Linked DNA regions of Kluyveromyces lactis. The protein of the gene in region 2 purifies or fractionates together with the protein of the main gene of each other region. This does not show direct contact. Links are inferred from orthologs where the notes say so. Each region holds a gene or a part of one and is shown on either strand. Other genes may lie near its edges.

Region 1 (3,436 bases), on a different chromosome or scaffold from region 2:
TTTTCTTTTCACTGTGTGCTTCCTCCATAATTGCTATTTGCTTGTGGCCCTTGCTTGGGCAATTGGCAAACCACGCGTATACCCTATTCTAATCTTCTTCATTTTCTGATCCGCTGGTGAAGGCTCAGTTCCTTTTTTTTTTTTCTCGATCACTCTCTTGGGAACTGGTGTGCATTTTCTTTTTAGTGGTGGTATTTTAATACTACGACTGCTTCTTGCATTGGTATATACTTTTTTATTATCGGGCCTATGTGCTTGTATGTCATGGTGCTGCCCTGTTACATATTTTCTTCTTCTTGTTCTTCTTCTTCATCTTCCACTGCCGTTTTTACTCACTCCCATACAGTGCGCAGTAATAGGGAGACTTACGGACAGATAGAGAAGATAGACGGTCAGCAGCCAGCCAGCCAATAATAGCCCACACATACATTTTTTTCCTCTCTCTATTCCTCTTTCGATTTGGTTGATACATTTTGTTAAAATATATTCATTTATATATTGGATCAAAGAAAGTTGGCCTTCCACTTCACTCTACTTTGTTGTTAGAAACTTCACTACTGTTTCTCATATTAGATACTGTTGATATACTACAGTGTCCAAGAACAATACTTTAGTGGGAGCCTAATCATAGCTTCAGGTAATTGCTACTCCCATCCTCTCCTTTTTTTTATTTTGGTATTACTGCTGTTCTTTACACTTTTTTTTTCCTTCAGTTTTTTGGGGCTTTGTCTTAAGTGTTTGAGTAATAGGTTTCTTAAGATTGTTATAGGAAGTCCTCATTGCCAATTGCACCGCTTCAAACTACATCCCATTTCACGTTCTTTCTTCAATACCATTCGAAATAGAGAAGACTGTTATCAAGAGGTACTTTTTCTTTCACTACACTTATTTCTGTCTAATTACTCTAGTTCAGTGATTATAATTTAATAAGCTTTTTCACTACTGCATTCCCATCCCACTCACTACTTTTGCTGGTACAGAAGATCCTCGATAAAACTTTTGAAGAATAAACAGTTATTAACTTTTCATTCGCTTCAAATTTTTCTTTCATCCATACAACACACTTGCTTTCTTTCATCCACCATCATATCATATTCGCATATCCTGGCCGCTGCAGAGGTTATTTCTTTGACTGTATCATTGTTAAGAATCTGATCTCCGTTATAAAACCTGATACTCAATCCTAACATCCGGTCTGCTCATATCAAGTTGTTTCTTGCTTTCACTTTTTCTATCGCTAAACAGAGGAAGACTTTCATAACAACTACCCCGCAAAGATTATAGAAAAGAATCACTCTTTTGCTTGTTAATTGAATCCTCATAGTCGATCTACAATCGTCTCAGGGTAGAATAACAAAAAGTAGAACGTCGCACTACATTACACTTTAACGGCTAAACGTTTTGTTACGTTTGAGTCATTCAGCTGGTCTGTCCCAATTTTTTATTCGTTTTCTCTTATCTTCCCTCAATTCTCAATACATTGTGGCTTTAGTTGTGAAATAGAATTATCTGCCCTTCTACAATACTCCTTTGATATTCTCTTTGTTCAAAATAAAGTTCACTTAAACAAATACAATCTATTTTTATTTATACATGATGTCAAATCTGACCATGGTAGATTCAAACTATATGAATTGCATAAGAAGGTCGATTTGGAATGAGAAAGCTTCTAATCCAAATTTGATTGAGATGGAATTGAAATCTCACAAAGCTACGATTAATGAAAATGCATCCACAATCTTCTCTAGATTGGTTGAAAATGAATCCAGCACAACAGTTTCTATGAAATGTTTTAAGTCCCAACCTGAAATCAATTTTCAAATGAGATCCTTGATTTTTGATTTCATCATGTGCTGTCACATCAGATTGAAACTTTCAACACCAACTCTTTTCCTATGTTTTAATATTATCGATAGATATTGTTCTAAAATCATCGTCAAGTCTTCTACTTACCAACTTTTAGGTTTATGTTCTCTATGGTTGGCATCTAAATACACGGACAAAAAGCAAAAAATTCCTTCATTACCTACTTTACAAAGCTTATGTTGCAACCAATATACCAAAGAGCAATTCAAGGAAATGGAACTTCACATTTGTCAGAGTCTCAACTGGACAATGTGTCACGGACCCAGTTTGGATTCTTTCTTGGATATCTTGGTAAGGGGAAATACGTTCCAAAACAACGAAACAGATTGTTCTGCCATGAAACTTGGAGCGTTGATACTATGCCAGCTTTGTTGCTTCAACCCAACCCTCTCATTCACTAACTCTTCTAGCTCCATTGCTCTGGCGTGCTTATCTATCACGAAATATGCACTATTGTCCTCCAAGTTTAATACCTTTGTTAACTTCGAAACAATGATGTCCAATGACAAACCAGACCCGAAACTAATCAATCTAATGAAGTCCATATTGGAAGTAATCAACGTTGCTGATATTCCATCTAGTTTCAAGCTTAGGTATTATGTCAACGATGTTCAGCATCCAATTTTGAAGTGTCTATTCTCCTATAAGACATATTGGAAAGATCACTTGTCAAGAATTGAATATTCTACATTGATGTCCCCATTGGTACCGGATTACAATCATAAAGATCGTCTGTCCCCAAAATCACTCCAAATGGATTCAATGAGATGGATGCAAATCCCCCCTACTCCTACGACTACTCCCTCCACACCGACATTGGCCAAATCCTCCAGGCCGTCATTACCAACATCATCGTCACATCACCCGAGCGGATCGTTCAGAAGACATTTCAAGAGAGATTCATCAACCATGGATATCGATTTCTTCGAACAAGAGCCCATCCAGCATGTCAAAAGAGGGAAAGTTGGAGAATGTTAACACGAAGACTGTTAATCTCGATAAACCCATTCATATCACTTACATAGAGAAGAATAGTGTTAAACACTTTTTTAGCATACAAAATTGATATTTGATCTATTTTTAACCTTACTATCTAACGAACTCAAATTTGCTTCCATTGACCTAAGAGCTCAACTTCTGATCACAGAAAGTTAATCGCATAGATCACTTCGACCTGGTATCATGTGTCATGGCAAGACGACATAAAAGCAACAAATTTTCTCACCTGGTGTGTCAATTGAAAAGAGCAATATTAAGATACAAATCCAAGAGGTTTTTTGAGTCGTTAGCCATCCCTATCAAATAGCAAGAAATACTGTGTAGTATGAGTAGTAGTACTACCACTACACTACTATCGTTGTTGTGTTAATGAATAGGCTATCAATGATATTTCACGAGACTTCTTTTTTCTCGCTTGCGCTTATCTGCCGATAAATATAAATCATGAAAGTCAATTTCTCTCCACTGGCAACAACATCCTTGTAAATAACAAGAAAATATGATGAAACAGATAGAAAAGTCTCTCACAACATTCTGGACGATAGTACTTTTCTATTCTCATTTACCCCTC
Region 2 (3,953 bases):
GAAGGTCCAGTCACCACTCTTTGCTTGATGTGTGATAGTCGCATGTGCATATGGTATGGTGTCATGCTTGTCACCAACATCAAGTAATAAAGTTTGACCTCTGACAAGGAAACATTTAGGATCTAAACCTCCTTCCCATTGTAACCCACAACCTGAAGCATTGACCACAATATTAACATCAGGGTAAAGCTCGCAAATATCTTTTAATTTCTCAAGCTTGATTCTCTTTACTCTAATGTTAACGTTCTGTTGCTCACTCTTTTTCATTACCTGGTCGTAAAGGAACAGTAAATACAATGGAGCATTCAAACACCACGTTTCATAGCTACAACCGAAAGTGACACCTGCAGGCAAGTTGGAATCTTGCTGTTGGAATTTTTCCAAGCTGGATCCATTATACCCTGCTCCTAAGCGTTGGTATTCGATGCTCGGATTTTCTAACCAATCGATCCCGTTCATGAATTCAACAGTGGCCTCACTCAACCACTGCTTAGATTTACGTTTGAAATAGTTATAAGTCACTCTGGTATATTCACTCTCACGTTTATCCGAAGCATAATCAGAATCTCTGTGTGGGAATGGTCTAAAATGAGCACCTGCCCATGGTGATGTGAACGTATGATTGATTGGCTGATCTTGCGGGAATTGTTCGGATACAATTGTTATAGTCCTGATATCGGGTCTTGTTTCCAGTAGTCTCAGCGCACTTGACAAACCAATAACACCGGCACCAACTATACAAACTGACATGCTCCAATATTCTGCTTTCTCAATTAACTAAACCTCGGCCGTGGCTGCCTATTTCCTGTTGTTCAAATTTATGAAACTTCTATTCATATCATATGTAAATCTAGTCAGATGTTTCATTCGATCGTCTTTTATGCAAATTGGAAATCACATTCAAACAAGAAAAGACGACTCAAACCCCCACATCTTAACCCGTAATAAGCAGCCAACTACATAGTGTTTGCGCCGGGAATTAACCAAAAAAATCGGTAGATTAACTAGGAACAGCTTCAAGGCATTTTTGTCCTGTCAGTATCGTATATCACCATTACAACCGAGATCGCTGCTCTGGTAATAATTACATTCTAACACGTGACCTGTGTTGCATGCAAGGTAAATACCTATGTAGGTCTAAAAGATAGAATGGTTTAGCTTAATATATTAGCCTCAAAGCGTTTAATAGCTAACTAATAGATGGCGAGAGTATCTCGCATAGATATAGGGACTGATAACATTGATTCAACAAATCTATGTTTATTTGCACTGTTATCGGCACTCTCAACCAAAATCAAAATTAAACTCTTGTACGATTTCTTTGTACAAAACGAAGTCACATCAACATATTGACTGACAGACGGAATATTGTTTAGCAGAAAGATAAGGAGTAACGGCAGGTGTGGGGTAGTCGTAAGTAACTTCCATTAGTTAAGGGTATAAGTAACATGGATCTCAATAGGCATGCGACCCCAGGGGTACCACAGTATCCTCTACAGAATGTTCCCGTTCCATACCGGTACCAACTTCATCCTCAGCCAGCGTCTCAGAGTAAACGAAGTATACATTATCCCCTTCAACAGCTTGACGACGATTCTGACAGCGACGGTCAGTATCACAAAAAGTTAAAGCCAAATCAGCAGGCTGTTTCCAGTCCCAACTTGATCGAGGATCAAGATGGGCCGTTACCAATATCGCCGATTGCTTCCCCATGTCACACACCTGAAGTGGAGGAACCAAGTATTGACGAAGTCATAGGGACTACAGTAGCTAGACTCAGCAGTACGACATCTCATCCAAATGCTTTAACAAGTCTTATATTTGGGCTTGTTTCCAACATGGATAGAACTCAGCTTTCAGATTTGGTCAGTATAATAACCGATAACTTGAAACGAGATTTGTTCCAATCACTACCTAATGAAATCACTGTGAAGATCCTATTAAATTTATCTTCGGAAGACATCTTCGCATGTTTGTTGGTTAACAGAAATTGGAATAGGTTAATCGAGGAGGCGCCTGTTGTTTGGAAATGGCTAATGCTTAACGAAGGTTTTGTCACCGAAGATCAGTTCCCGTCGTACTGTAACAGTTTGCCCAGTAAATATAAGCATTTGATCAACCCTGACGACAGATTTAGATTAGATTTCCTGGAGAACAACTGGTGTCTCCAGAACTGGTACGATCCAAACTATAAACCAGGGAGGACTTGTCTTGATGGTCATAGTACCAATGTTGTAACATGTCTACAATTTGAAAACAATTATATTATTACCGGAGCAGACGATAAGAAGATCAACGTGTATGACGCTGAGAATGATCTGTTCCTATTAGAATTAAACGGACATGAGGGCGGTGTGTGGGCACTGAAATTTGTGGACGGTAAGATTTTAGTTAGTGGTTCCACAGATAGAAGTGTGAGAATCTGGAACATCGAAACTGGTAAATGTACCCATGTTTTCAAAGGACACACATCGACGGTTAGATGTTTAGAAGTGGTTGAATATGGTGACAGCAAATACATTGTAACGGGGTCTAGAGACAATACCTTGCATGTGTGGAAACTTCCCCCCATGAAAGAGCTAGACAAGGGATCGCAGGAACCTATTTTCTACAGGACACCAGAGGAAAACCCATATTTTGTTGGGGTATTAAGAGGCCACATGTCTTCGGTAAGGACAGTGTCTGGTCATGGTAGAATTGTCATAAGTGGTTCATATGACCACAATTTGATGGTATGGGATATCATTAGTATGAAATTACTATATATTCTAACCGGTCACACCGACCGTGTGTACTCGACCATTTATGACTACAAGAGGAACAGGTGCATATCAGCAAGTATGGATACCACAGTGATGATCTGGGATCTCGAAAACATTGAAAATAATGGGACAACTACTACAATCAATGACGGTGCATCGATCAAAGTGGTTGGAAGCATGAAATGCCTTTATGGACATACAGCTTTAGTTGGTCTACTTTGCCTATCCAATAAATTTTTGGTTAGCGCTGCTGCAGACGGTTCGATACGCGGCTGGGATCCAAATGATTATTCAAGAAAGTTTTCGTTCCATCATACAAACCTGGCTGCTATCACTTCATTCTCCATGAACGATAACATTTTGGTTAGTGGATCGGAACGACAATTCAATGTATATAATTTAAGGACCGGTAAGCTGATACACAGGAAGCTACTCACAGATTCGGAACAAGTGTGGGGTATCAAATTAAATAACAGAAAATTAGTCGCTGCGATCGAGTCAGTGGGACACAGTTACGTAGAAATCTTGGATTTTGCTGCTCGGAATGGTGACAAGACTATCAGAACCCGGACTAGAACAAGAGTCGACCATCAAATATATCGAACGTCACTTTGGTCTTCCACTCTTTAACATTAACTATCAATTTAACTTGCATTACCACATCTGGTATCTCGCCGTATGGAAATATTCTACCATCAAATAAACTCTGTAATACCAATCCTCTGTATCTTTGTTCTCTTCTCTTCTCTTCAATGCCAGCAGACATAAAAAAGTTGTATGATTAATTTATCTACGGCATCACCTATCCCTAAGACATATATAGGAGTTTCAATACTATTTCTACGTGTTACAAACTTTTCAGCCACCCCAGTACTGGTGGATACAGTCGACTACTATACCAGACATATACAGTTCTCAACATTTACCTATCTATGTCTTCTTATCAAGATAGGGTCATCCCTAGGTGTGGAAAATTATGCCAAGGAATTAATCGGGTGTGTTTTGCGATGAGGAAAAAAGTAAGTTGCACATTGAAAAAAATGTCAAATTTACACAATATAAGTACCTCTTTCGATTTTGTCCACCTATTCTTGCAACATTCCAGTGCCTACTCAAGCATAGCGTCTTGGATTGGACTGAATCTTTACCCACTTAAGCACTCCCAAAATACCCCTCCAACACACTGAAATG

Evidence for each region.
Region 1: the proteins of CDC4 (region 2) and CLN3 purify together in Saccharomyces cerevisiae (affinity purification with western blotting; 3 studies listed by BioGRID, with this or other methods). This does not show direct contact. The link is inferred for Kluyveromyces lactis from reciprocal best matches to the Saccharomyces cerevisiae genes CDC4 and CLN3.

What each region holds. Positions count from the first base shown.
Region 1 is NC_006039.1:1,108,751-1,112,186, reverse strand, and holds CLN3 (cyclin CLN3), read left to right. Parts: upstream 1-1,593; coding exon 1,594-2,844; downstream 2,845-3,436. UniProt on the Saccharomyces cerevisiae protein: Essential for the control of the cell cycle at the G1/S (start) transition. CLN3 may be an upstream activator of the G1 cyclins which directly catalyze start.
Region 2 is NC_006040.1:647,423-651,375, reverse strand, and holds CDC4 (SCF ubiquitin ligase complex subunit CDC4), read left to right. Parts: upstream 1-1,448; coding exon 1,449-3,392; downstream 3,393-3,953. Other genes in the region: KLLA0_D07568g (FAD-dependent oxidoreductase), read right to left, coding at 1-750; KLLA0_D07524g (uncharacterized protein), read left to right, coding at 3,951-3,953. UniProt on the Saccharomyces cerevisiae protein: Substrate recognition component of a SCF (SKP1-CUL1-F-box protein) E3 ubiquitin-protein ligase complex which mediates the ubiquitination and subsequent proteasomal degradation of target proteins. Recognizes and binds to phosphorylated target proteins.